Linked DNA regions of Arabidopsis thaliana. The protein of the gene in region 1 interacts with the protein of each later gene in a pairwise test. Each region holds a gene or a part of one and is shown on either strand. Other genes may lie near its edges.

What was found. Proteins that work in one complex are often made in the same cells at the same time.
Region 2: the proteins of SPX1 (region 1) and AT4G31430 interact in a two-hybrid assay, tested with the Arabidopsis thaliana proteins (one large-scale study listed by BioGRID).

What each region holds. Positions count from the first base shown.
Region 1 is NC_003076.8:6,799,321-6,804,586, reverse strand, and holds SPX1 (SPX domain-containing protein 1), read right to left. Parts: upstream 2,306-5,266; 5' UTR 2,159-2,305; coding exon 1,889-2,158; intron 1,808-1,888; coding exon 1,681-1,807; intron 1,594-1,680; coding exon 1,220-1,593; 3' UTR 932-1,219; downstream 1-931. Other genes in the region: AT5G20160 (Ribosomal protein L7Ae/L30e/S12e/Gadd45 family protein), read left to right, coding at 255-386, 486-512; HBP5 (SOUL heme-binding family protein), read left to right, coding at 3,695-4,075, 4,155-4,292, 4,369-4,437, 4,520-4,591, 4,677-4,759, 4,861-4,995, 5,094-5,266. UniProt on the Arabidopsis thaliana protein: Plays a positive role in plant adaptation to phosphate starvation. Inhibits PHR1 DNA-binding activity in a Pi-dependent manner.
Region 2 is NC_003075.7:15,245,804-15,254,001, reverse strand, and holds AT4G31430 (flocculation protein), read right to left. Parts: upstream 5,626-8,198; 5' UTR 5,493-5,625; coding exon 5,222-5,492; intron 4,888-5,221; coding exon 4,835-4,887; intron 4,686-4,834; coding exon 4,597-4,685; intron 4,434-4,596; coding exon 4,327-4,433; intron 4,248-4,326; coding exon 4,156-4,247; intron 3,722-4,155; coding exon 3,551-3,721; intron 3,294-3,550; coding exon 3,104-3,293; intron 3,010-3,103; coding exon 2,945-3,009; intron 2,842-2,944; coding exon 2,787-2,841; intron 2,697-2,786; coding exon 2,618-2,696; intron 2,508-2,617; coding exon 2,428-2,507; intron 2,348-2,427; coding exon 2,209-2,347; intron 2,132-2,208; coding exon 1,798-2,131; 3' UTR 1,443-1,797; downstream 1-1,442. Other genes in the region: AT4G31440 (transcriptional regulator of RNA polII, SAGA, subunit), read right to left, coding at 1-271; AT4G31420 (Zinc finger protein 622), read left to right, coding at 6,239-6,343, 6,614-7,180, 7,272-7,441, 7,544-7,762, 7,859-8,015.

The DNA of each region.
Region 1 (5,266 bases):
CCTTAGTTCATAGAAGAGAATTAAGTTTACTTGCTGAGGATATAGTTTGATTAGTTTGTGCCAATGTTCAGCCAAGTTTTGTATATCATTTTGTTAACTAAACTCTGATTTCATACTTGTTGGAGTTTAAAATGACAGCTTTATGATTGTCTTTTATGATTTTGTTTAGCTTGTATGTTTTTGATTCTGTAATGCTTTGTTGTTCTTATATACTAGTTTTCTATATTCTTACTTTCTTTGTGAATGTTTTGTAGAATGTTCCTTATGTCTTTGTGCCTTCAAAGCAAGCCTTGGGAAGAGCCTGTGGTGTGACTAGACCTGTTATCGCTTGTTCAGTCACATCTAACGAAGCTAGTCAATTGAAATCACAGATTCAACATCTCAAGGTAACTTAGCCCTCACTTGTGTACTCTCTTTATAACCTTGAACCATCATTGATTCCACAGAATTGGTTAATCATTAACTCTTTTTTTACATTTCTTCAGGATGCTATTGAGAAGCTTCTGATCTAAGGCATTCTCTGAATTGATTGCTCGGTATGATGGGTCTCCGCGAATGGGAAGGCTTTGACTGAAGTTTTGTTTAGGCAACTACCAAATCAAAAACCGTCCATTATTCTACTATCTTCTCTTCAAGTTTGTAACGTAATTCACTTTTCTGCAACTTGGTTTCTTAAGAATTTGTGTTGGTTTCTGGTTTTGGTTTGTAGCGAATCATTGTGTTATTTATAAGAACTTGTTTTGATATCTATCACAAAACGAACAAAAAAATTGAAATAAAAATTGAAGGACTTGAATTGAGATTGAATACGAAATCAATTGGTCTGTTGCATTATGCAAAGTCTTACCTTGAATTGAGATCGAGTCACTAGTATCATTTGCAGTCATCATTTCTTCTTGAAGAGGATTATGAACTTGTATATGTAGTAGTAGAGAACTTGAAATATCTAGCATATGACTTTGGAAAAGAAGAAATCAATAATTAATCTGAAGTGGTATATATTACATCAACTACAACACACCCAACACAGAAACAAAGTTACATTGCAGTTTTGTGTAACCTAAGGACTTATGACCGACCAAAGATGATATCCAGAAACATGATCCTATAGTTTCTTCTGCCTTTTTGTGTACATTGATGATAATGTCTTGTTTAATCTGTTAGCTTCTTCTATTGTATAAAAAAGTGGAATAGAGCGAGTGTGCCTCTGTCTCACTCTCTATTTGGCTTCTTGCTCCAACAATGGAATCTTCTTCCATGTCTCATCTAAGCCATTTAACTGTAGAGGCGGCAATGAAAACACACTAACAGTAGAACTTCCACTCCTGATCTCCTTCAAAACCCGCAAGGCAGCGATTGTGCTCTTCATATGAAGACTCTCCATGAACTTATGCTCTGATAACTCTGCTTGGATAATCTCAGACTCAGTTTCGTTAGCAGGGAAGATCTGATCAAGCATTGCCTCAGATTCCTTGACAAGCTTGAACAATAAGTCAGTAGTGTAAAAAGGTTGCTGAAGAACTTTCTGGATGAAAGGTAAACGCATGAGATCACCAGTTCTTTTGTCATACTTCTTCAGTATCTTAACCAATCCTGTTGTTTCAACAAACCATTCATCAACGTTTTGTTCTACTACTAATAATAAGATTAAGTCTTAATGAGGCAATTAAATTAAATTACCAGTGTAATTAAGAGCACTGTAATTCTCAAGAAGAACCATTTCTCCATGGAAATCAACAATCTCCTTCCTGATTTTTATCATCTTCTCCATTGAATCCTTAGCTTTCGCAATTCTATCTCTAAATTCCTGTTTTTGTACAGACAGAGACACATTAGAAAAAGAGATGATCATTTTTAGGAATCGGATTCGAAATGTTGTTTATATTACCTTTAGTCTGATGATATATTCTTCTTCCTTCTCAACGAAGAAATTGTTGAATTTCTCCAACTCGTCTTCTAACAATTGGATGAAATTGATCTCTTCTTTCGATATTCCGACGGAAAACTCATCTAAACGGAGTCGTTTAACGGGACGATCGGCGGTTTTGGAACCGATGAGTTTGAGTCGTTTTTTGAGTTCTTTGTAAGACAAGAACTTGTCTTGCCATTCAGGAAGAGTTTGCTCGATCTGATTGCTGAGACTCTTACCAAACTTCATAGCTCTTTTATTTTCTGGGAAACTTAAGTGAGAATGATGAATGAAGAAGAAAGAGAGGGGGAAGAGGTTTAGAGATATAAAAGGGATTAAAAAGAATATTCTTAAGGTTTCTAATTAGAATATCCTTTTTTCTCTGTCTTTCTTTCGGGAGAATATCTTCCTTTTATTCCTTTCTTATTTATTACTTTTTCGTGGTTATCTGTGGGTGAGATTATAACACATGCCTATGTCAGTTCATAAATATCAATCACAACTCACATGCCAATTTATTTATCCAATACTTATTATTACAGATTTGCTGTCCAAAAAAAGAAAAATAATATTACAGATTTTATATCCATTTATCTGATTCATTTTTTTCTAAATTCGTATGGGTATCGTACTAATATCTTGATTCATTTTCTTTAGAGTTTGTACTGTATTCATCTGATATTTAAATATTTTACGATATTAGATTTCCTTATTTGGTATTGTCTATATATGTTCATGATATCTTCATAACTATGTACAGTATGTATTAAATCATCTTTTTAAAAATATATGTCTATTTATACATGCAGATACACTATGTAGTAGTGATTTTTTATTTTTTTTGCATTTTTAGATTTAATCAAAAACGAATTGCAAAGTAAAAAAAATGAATATTGGATATAGTATTTACAGTTACAGATATCCTCAAATCCAGCTCAGATTGTCGTCATGACATAAATACGTGGACGTTTGGTCTTCATGATCATATCTGTCTCTCCATGATGATGGCATGATCAATAAATAGTAGTTCAATACTACAACTAGTTTGACAATTTACCCACTTTTGATTTTCTGAAAAGATTTAACAAATACGCAAATGGGTCAAAAGTAGTTGGATTCCATGGAATATTCTTGATAGGAAAAGGGTATAAACCTCGGCATCTTTCAATCTTTCTTTAAAGCACCCCCCAATGGACAATTTATTGAATTTTCCCGATTCGCGTCTTAATTCATTCACATTTGCTCATTATTAGCTTCTGATTTTGACATTTAGGATAAACCACCGGTCCATTTGACATTGTCTATATGCAGCAAATTCTGCTGATTTTACAACTTGTCAATTTATATTTATTAAGAAGACTATCAGTTTATTAGTCAAACAACCAAAGTCCAAATCCTTATGACATGGTCGTCGTATTCTTTACAATCTTTGACGGATAAACTAAAACAATATTTACTTTGCCGTATAATCGAAACTTTCGTGTCTCTGTCTCATTTCTGGGTACGTATGTAATTAATGTATGCAAGCAAAGTAATCCATTGTTGGAGTTAAGTTCCCTCCAGTAGCCCAAATGGAATGGGCCTCGTTAAGTCAAAGTTCCATAATGAAAAAAGCCTAAAGAGTGAAAAAAAAATCTGAATTTTAACCGAAACAAATTTAGTTTGGTTCGTAAATAAAACCAGAACCAAACCGAACCGACAGTACCAAAAAAGAACCGATTGTTAAATGAAAGCGAACAACCACAAGAAATAAAATAGAGCAGAAAACTTTTTTATCAACGATCAATGGCTACCGTTAATCAGCAGCTTTACCGGCCAATACTCACCGCCGTCGGAAGTGACTGCCGGCGGCATGTAACCACCCGTTTCCTCCCTGTTCCGAGACGCAACGTAACCACTCGTCTACGGCCAATTTTGAGTCTTGAGGTGGGCAAGGAAGTGGCTTCAGCACCGTCGACAGTGAACATGGAAGAGCTCGTCGGATTCTTGTACGAGGATCTTCCTCACCTTTTCGACGACCAAGGAATCGATAAAACGGCGTACGATGAGCGCGTGAAGTTCAGAGACCCAATCACTAAGCACGACACCATCTCTGGCTATCTCTTCAACATTGCTTTCCTCAAGAATATCTTCACTCCTCAGTTTCAGCTTCACTGGGCTAAACAGGTCTTTGCTAACTTTTGTTTATCATTTGATTTCTTTAATTCTAGTTTTTTTTAAGTTCACTGATGCAGCTGATATATAGACAGGTCCATATGAGATCACTACGAGATGGACAATGGTGATGAAGTTCATACCTTTACCATGGAAACCAGAACTTGTCTTCACTGGATTATCAATCATGGAAGTTAATCCTGAAACTAACAAATTTTGTAGTCATCTGGTATGTATGGTTGCCATGTCCTTCTTCCAAAATCTATTGTGGTATGGTCTACTTATTACAAGTAGATGTTGTGCAGGACTTGTGGGATTCTATCAAGAACAATGACTACTTTTCTCTTGAAGGTCTTGTTGATGTTTTTAAGCAGGTTGCTTTCTTGGCATTTGGCATGAATTGAGCCCCCTTAGAAATGGTTAATCATATCTTACAAGTACTACCTTTTTTTGCAGTTACGGATATATAAAACGCCAGACTTGGAAACTCCAAAGTATCAAATACTGAAAAGAACAGCAAACTATGAGGTCACATATCTTCATGTATTGGCTTAATGGAACCAACTATGCAAATGTGGTTGCTTGCCTTAAGTTGGATTTGATTGTTTGGCAGGTTAGAAACTATGAGCCCTTCATTGTGGTGGAGACAATTGGTGACAAGCTTTCTGGTTCTTCAGGTTTCAACAATGTTGCTGGGTGAGGGTTAAGTCTAAGTTTCTGTGAGTGTCCATAAATTCTTCTGGCATCTTGTTTTATTTTGATAAATGTAACACATGCTAGCTTTTTTACCTATGAAGCTACATATTTGGAAAGAACTCGACCATGGAGAAAATACCAATGACAACTCCAGTGTTTACTCAAACAACAGATACTCAACTCTCTTCTGATGTCTCTGTACAAATTGTTATTCCATCAGGAAAAGATCTTAGCAGGTAAAGCCTTATCATGGATAGTTTTTTAGTTGACATCAGATATGGTTAATGAGAATCATTGTGTGATGAGAATGGTTTTGCTTTCCTTTTTCCTCTAGCTTACCAATGCCTAATGAAGAAAAGGTAAATTTGAAGAAGTTGGAAGGCGGTTTTGCTGCAGCAGTGAAATTCAGTGGTAAACCGACAGAGGATGTTGTCCAAGCAAAAGAGAATGAACTGAGGAGCAGTCTGAGTAAAGATGGTCTGAGAGCTAAGAAAGGTTGTATGCTTG
Region 2 (8,198 bases), on another chromosome or scaffold:
TGCCAGGGTGACCGGATTGGTGAACTGATGGTGGGGACTTAGCCAGAGATGCATTTCTCAAGATGGAACGAATCAACTTATTGTGAAGAGAAAGATTCTCTCTCCCCAAAAGACGGAAACATGACTTATCAAACTCACTCTTAGTAAGCTTCTGACTCAGAAACCTGCCCAAGTAGTAAAAATACCTTGTAGATCTTTCAACCCCAACCTTCTTCACTATATGCACTTTTAGCTCAGCTAGATCAATCCTGGGATCTTGAAGACGTTGCATACTTCTTTCTGGCTTCTTCTTCTAAACCGAAACTAAGTGAAACAGTCAGAGGAGTGCACAAAATGCACCCTCTCAGCTTCTAGTTATCCTTCACACAAACAAACCCAACTCATCAACGTATTTATTCTCAAACTCAAATCCAGAAGCATTTCAAGAACTCAGCTGAAGCTTTTTAGTACAGGCCACTCCAATCTCATCTCCCCAAAAACCCAAACCCTAGAGATCATTATCTACTAGCCAGCTTTGAAATTCAACCTCGGCTGTTTCAGAATCAGAGTATATTACAAACCCTAGCTTGGAATTAGCAAATCAATCCATCAAGAAGGAAGAATCAATCCAACTAACCGTTTCTCCAAGTTCACGAGCGAGTAAGAAGACGAAACTGAATCAGAGCAGAAAAACCCCGCATTTTTTGTTTCACGCCCAATTCGGAAGCTAAGAACTTTGAGAATTCCCGAAATTTGAGTTGGAGCAAATCGAGATCAGTTGAGTTGAACAAATGATTGGAGCTTTGAGAACAGAGCAACAGATTCGAATTGCCTAAAGAATGATGAAATTCGAATTGAAGAAGGAGGAAGCGGGCAATGAGAAGCGGGACCCAAGCTTGTAAGCAGAAGAACAAGTGTTGGAAGATTTGACCAGAAAGAATTCAGACAAAAGAAAAATCGGAACAAAACAAGTAACTTCCGAGTTCCGACACCAACCCAATGATTTCTCGGCTTCTTAATAATACACTTCTGCTTCGATTGAATCTTCGTGGCTTCTTCTTTCGTATGGCTTTTCAGATTTGAATGTCTGAGCGCTTTCGCTCTTCTGTGTTTATTTTAGCTTCGATCGCTGCTTATTGGGTTTTTGTTGTTCGTTTTTCTTCACTTTTGTTTCTGTCTGTTTTGTTTTTTCTCTCTCTCTTTCTGTCTGTCTTGATAAAATTGGTTATTGGGTTTCTTCTTTTCGCTCGTTATTGCTTTTGTACTTTGGTAAGAGATTGTGTAACACTAGATTGAACCCATTTGATTATATTCATCTTACAATGTTTTGATCTGAGTGATCTCATCTAATATTGGATCATGTCAGAATTTGTTTACTTGACACTTTACGAGGTTAAAAGATGAGTGGTGTTAGTACTTGAGATTTCCCCCAAAAAAATTAGGTGTTGGCTTTTTGGTCAAGTAAAAAAGATTTAAAAATTTGGCATCGAACAAAAGAAAAAGAGTTTCAACATATGGAAACTGCAAACTACAAAGCTTCGTCAGCTGGAACGAAACCAAGCTTCAAACTTACAACATTAAACATTAGAGATTTCAGACAAATGAAAGAAACAACAGAGACACAATTCCACATAACTCGACAAGACAAATCCTCCTAACTCAAATACTACAAGATAACCTAAAAAGATAACGAAGTGACCAAAGACCAAACACAAACAGAGTGGGATTCAAATCTAAAAGAGATGTCACATAATCCTACCTCATCATAATACTCTCCTACTGCATTGTGTTTGTTGTGTACAGCTCATCTTACAAAGTTTATTTGGCCCGTCCTTTGCCTCGACCTCCTCTGCCTCTTCCTCTACCTCGGCCTCTTCCTCTTCTGCTGTATGCCAAGACCTTGGTATTTCCCGGGCTGCTACTTGCTGAGTTTGAGTTAGGTAGAGACTGGTCTCCTGGGAGCCACTCTTCTTCATGGGTGCTTGAACTGTTAGAGGCACTTGAGTGGCTGTCATTGCTTTCGTTATTAATTGCACCATCTGAGCCATTCCCTACTGTCATATCATCACCATGAATTTCAGCTATAGGCTGAGAAGCCTTGGTTTCTTCTGGTGGTGTGGGTTTTGGTTGACCTTCCATAACCGCTGGTGAACTGAAAAAGTAAGGCTTTGCTTAGGAGGAAATAATGTCATCATGTCAAACTAGCCAGACAAAGGAGTTGCTTTTCACCTAGGTGATGAAGATGGGAAACCGTTAGAAGTATGACGTGATGCGCCTATTTCATCAGCTTCTTTTGATGTTTCAAACACATCTTTAGGGATGCAAGAGTTCCCAGTAGGATCCAAAGTTGCCCCAAGAGCCAAGACAGCTGCATCAATAGGAGCGCAAGTAAATTAAGAGAACCCAACTAAAAATCAGAACCAAAGGAATTCAACATCCAATGTATACCATTTGTGGTGTTTCCGATAGTAGAAGTAGGTTGGATAAAATCGCCATCTTGATCATTGAAGTCATCTACAGCAGTTCCACTGTCGCATACAGTTGAAAAACTTCAGAAGATTGATATACTAAAAAACATATCTGTCAAAAAGAAACAAGGTACAATCTGTGTTGGAAGGATAAGCACAATAAAAAGAACCTTTGAGGAGCGGTATTCGTATCTTCAGATGGCTTGACTCCTTGTGTGGAGATAAATGTCTCCTCCAAACCAACTCCACCTAATCAGAACACATTAAATCCATGAGACAGAGTATAAAAAGCGAAGATGAGAGAGTGTATACAAATTAAGGATTAAGGGAGAAACTAACGAGATCTAGTGTGTAAAACTCCTGTTTCTTTGACGGCTTGATTAGCTTCCGTAGTCTTCACTCAAGTAAAACACACAAGGACACCAAAACAAGAAAGATTGGAACTGCAAGTTTTTTCTTGGTAATGAGAGACACATAGTGTAAAGAGTGCTTGATACCTGATTGTGCTCAGAGGTAGGTATGGCTGAATTTGGTAGAGCTCTGCTTTGTTCATTCCGTACAGCTGAAAGAACAGAAAAGAAGAGTTAATTTCAGTTTCAACTCATGTCTTACTGAAAAACTTCTTCCACGTGTGAATAAAGAAAGAAAAAAAACACCTCCATCAGCATTCAAAGACGAAGCATTTCCTTTGAGCATATCAGTCGCTAAAACATAGGGGCTGTATTTAGGTTCCAAAGAGGCTACACTACTGGGACTTTTAAGCATTTCCTCGGTTGCTTTAGCTCTGACTTTGCGAATTTCATCTTGAATATTCCATGACTGATTAGAACCGGACTTCCTTTTCAGCTGCATTTGGTAACCAATGTCAGAATGAATAAGGGTAAATTTGAGAGAGCCATTGAAAATACATATAACGGTATGCAACTTTTCTTTAGGAATAGCTGGAAATAGTGTCCCACAAATTCCTCGTGGTTATCTAACATAAACAATAGAAGTTAAGCAGAGAATTTTATCTCATAAACCAAGATGAAACGACTTCAGACTTTCAAACAACATTTGACCAAAAGAAAAGTATGCACTGCTGGAGAACTTAAAATTCTAACCTTGGATGAGGAAAAGTTTCCAGCGCTATAAGGAAGGGGTGTCCCTTGCACTCTTGCTGATGATGGTGATCGAAAATCTAAATTATTCGCAGCTGGAGATCCCCATGGCAGACGAGCTCGCATATAAGACTTGGCCACGTCCACAGGCGATCCAGCACCATCTTCAGTTGCCTGGAGATTTAAACTAATGGCTGAGATGGTGATCATCATTTAAAGTACAATGGAAAAAGAATACTGTGAAGCGAAGCTATCAGAAGTTGACCAAAATCATGTAAGTAAATGGTCTTCATAGTCAAAAGAAGAGCAACAATATGGATCTTTTGCATTTTAAGCGGACAAAAAGGTATTTCCCAATCAGGACATTTCAGAATTAACGTCACCAGATGGCCACACGCAGAATTCTGAACAACCTACTTTTGCAAGAGAGCTTTAAGTTGCTGATCACATGGATTGGCATATAACAATCAAATCATTTTACCCAAACAGAAGATGTCTCCTTCTATAATAATAATGGCTTAGAGCACGGAGACAAGATATCACAAAAAAGTTGATACCTGCAGGCTGCAGCAATTAGAACAGTTAAGAAGCAAGTTTCCAGAACTTACTTTATACTTTGAACTTGATCCTGATTTCTTCTCCTCCAACCATTTTCTTGCTTCCATGACAGCTGTATTGGACATTTCACCCACATTCACGTCTAGAAATAAAATAGAAAAGAAGACGTTATCACATAGACTAATCCGGTCTACTTGCACAGTCTACCATCAGTAACATACCGCTTGTCAATCCATAGTCATCATGACTCGTCTCAATAGCAGAGGGGACGCTGGGATGATCTACAACCCTAGCCTTGATGATATCTATTAACCTATCACCCTCTTCCCTGAAACAACATACACATGAATGAATAAGCAGGATACAAGATCAGCTTAGATTTGGTAACTACACACGTCTCAGAAAGATTCTTTAAGCTATGAGGTGTAAATAATAAGAATAGTCGAGGAGGCTGCTACTTATGATGTCCAAAAAGCCAGGCAGAGAAATACCTTGCAAATGTTTCTTGCAAGAGAAGCTGCTCAATTACACGCTTAGAACTGAGTCGTTGAATGCTTGGTTGCTGGGCACTCAGAAGGTCCTATTCACACAAGCACAAAAACTGAAATTATGCTTTTATAAAAAAAACTCTCAGTTGAAAACGTGTTAGCTTCACGAACTTTACTTCAAACAATTATCATAGGACTACAGTGGCATAGCAATCACCAAAACGAACAAGGTGGTTAGTACCTCTTCAGTAAAATCGGGATTGTTCTTCTCAACATCCTCATCACCATCAATATCTGCAAACAAAGAAGAAAACATATAAAAATCCATACATTAAAAGAATAAGACACAACAAAGCTGGTTGGTATTCTCAATCCCAGAACTACATTATATGAATAAAAATTAGAGCTTTAGAATTAGTATGAAGTTTATAGCTTAGAAGTAACCTAACTAAATAGAGTACAACAATGCTTAACTGCTCTTAAGTCCCACATATTAAAGGAAAGAGAAAATGGGAAAGCTTTAAGTCAAACTTCACATTTCAAACGAAACGGTAGCTTTCAGATTCGACCAGACAATAAACCAAAAATTCAAATTAATCCTATCTAAACTGAAATAAATGGTACAAACCTGAAGATGAATCCTCGTCCTCCTCCGAAGATGAGGAAGAGTCGGAGAAGACGACGGAAGAAATGAATTTTCCGGCGCCGGAAGCAATTACGCTGGCGGGTTTGTAAACGAGCCTGGAGATCCAACTAGGGTTTTGCTGAGGAGGATCTCGGGATCTCTGAACGGGGCGCTCACACGGCGTCCTGACAACAGCGGTGCGTCGTGGTCGAACAATTTTCCCACCGACTCGAGGCTGACCTGCTCCGGCGGCGTAACCGGAGACGGAATCCATGGTGAAAGTGAGAGGAGGAGGGAGAAGTTCGTTGTAGGAAATAATGAAAGTGTTGAGGAAAAATTGGTAATTTCTCGTTATTTGTCGTCTTCTTGTTTTTTTTTTTAATTGGGGGTGAATAGTTAGTTTCCTAAATTACAGGCCTGCGGTTAAAATTTCTTCCACTAATAAAATTAGGCAAAAACAAAACATTGCGATTAAAAAAAATTAATCGTAGTAAAATCATGTATTATATTCTTCTCTTTTCATATTTTGAACATATCACATGATGTTTAGATCTTATAAATGCAGTAATTTAATAGAGAGATTAGAATTTGGAAGAAAAAAAAGTTACATGATTAAACGAAGTAATTAATCAAGTTGTAAGTAGTTATTTTAAAAACAATATTAGAAAAATGTTTTTTGGTTACTCATACAGTAATACTTAATTCGTCAACTGTGTCAGTGTTACAAAAAGGCTAAAAGAATGGGCCAAATGGGCTACTCTTGTATCGGGTCAGGAACGGGTCAGTTCCAACCCGATCGGATCTAAAATGGGCGGGGCGCCTTCCTTTTCATTTTGATGGCAATCAATCATCATCAATCGACGCTTTTTTAGAGACAAACACGATCGCCGATCCATTTACGAGCCGTCGTTGCTCTACACATATCAACAACAAATCTTATCCTCCCAACTATCTTTTCTCTGATTTTCTTTTCTTCTCCAGTTTCCATTTCTAGAATCGATCGATATTGAAGGAGAGAAGATGCCTGGTTTAACATGTAACGCGTGTAACATGGAGTTCAAGGACGAAGAAGAACGTAACCTTCATTACAAATCCGATTGGCACCGCTACAATCTCAAGCGCAAGGTTTCATTTCTTCTGCTTTCTCTATCGAATTTGAACTCAAGCCTATCTGTTTCTCGGGAAAATCTTGCGTCGGTGATGAGATGAAAGTTTCTGAGAAACAGCTTTTCCATTTTGCTATCGAAATTGTTTAGTTAAGGTTATGGAATCGTAGAGTTTATATGAAAATTTGTTTTGAAGCTTATTCTACTAAGGAACAAGGATTTCAATAATCATAGATTTGGTTACTTCTAGGCATTTGAATCTTTGTATTTCTGTAATTTTTTATGTTAGGTGGCTGGAGTTCCTGGAGTTACAGAAGCCTTGTTTGAGGCTAGACAATCTGCTCTTGCTCAGGAGAAGAATAAATCAAATGAAGCACCTATGCTTTATACTTGTGCAATCTGTGCTAAAGGTTACAGGAGTTCCAAGGCTCATGAGCAGCATCTTCAGTCGCGTAGCCATGTTTTGCGGGTTTCACAAGGGACATCAATCAACGGAGAGGAGGATATAGCGATTATCAGGCAACTTCCTCGCCGTGTTCAACACAGGGGTTCCATTGATGATGATAGTGAAGATGAATGGGTGGAGGTTGATTCTGACGAGGAATTGGCTGCTGAAGAAGCCTCTGATTCTTTGTCTAAGTTGAATGTGAATGAGTCTGGATCTGCTGAAGATATGGATGATGATGGTGATGCAGATAAGTATGAGCTGGATCCAACCTGCTGTTTGATGTGTGACAAAAAACATAAGACCTTAGAGAGCTGTATGCTTCACATGCATAAGCATCATGGTTTCTTTATTCCCGATATTGAGTATCTCAAGGATCCTGAAGGGCTTCTCACTTACCTTGGTCTTAAGGTTTGGACTCATCAATTTACCATTCAGTGTTCGTTGTTGTCAAGCTTTGAAATTCTTACTCCTGTTTACTTATACATTGCTCATCATTTAGGTCAAGAGAGACTTCATGTGTCTGTACTGCAATGAGCTGTGCCGTCCATTCAGCAGCTTAGAAGCTGTAAGAAAACATATGGAAGCAAAGAGTCATTGCAAACTGCATTATGGTGATGGTGATGATGAAGAAGATGCTGAGCTAGAAGAGTTTTATGACTACAGCAGCAGGTTTCAACTCTCTTCTATCTCTGATTATTCTTGTTCTCGCCTGTATTCCTCGTTCTATGCCAAATCTTAATCCGCACCTTTCTTTGGAATATATGAATTGAGCAGCTATGTTGATGAAGCTGGAAAGCAAATTGTTGTATCTGGTGAAACAGACAATACTGTAGAACTCGTTGGTGGTTCTGAGCTCTTGATCACGGAGAAGTCCGAGAACACAACAACGTCTAAAACTCTCGGGTCCCGTGAATTCATGCGTTACTACAGACAGAAGCCACGCCCAACTTCTCAAGACAGCAACCAGATAATTGCCTCTTTATCTTCAAGGTTTGTTTTCTCCAAACCCGTTAATCATCCGAGTCTATCCAATCAGATAATCGGCAAGGTAAACTAAGGTTATTCCAACAAATGGTAAATTCTCAGGTACAAGAGCCTGGGTCTGAAGACAGTACCGTCGAAAGAGGAGACTTTGAGGATGAAAGTGCGCAAGGAGATGAGCAAGAGAGGCGAGACAATGCGTACCAAGATCGGAGTGAAGAGTAATGTCATAAGAAACTTGCCCAATAACGTCCCATATTAGTTTCTGTGTATGTGCCACTTGTTCTCAAGTGTTGGATTGTATGATGATTTCATGTACTTTTGAGTCTTTGACCAAGTTGTGTTGCTACTTGGTAATAAGAGTAAGCTTTAAAAAGAGTATGTTCACTGAAATAGAAATGTTAAAAATTAATACACGAACGTTGACTTCTGATTTACTCTCAAT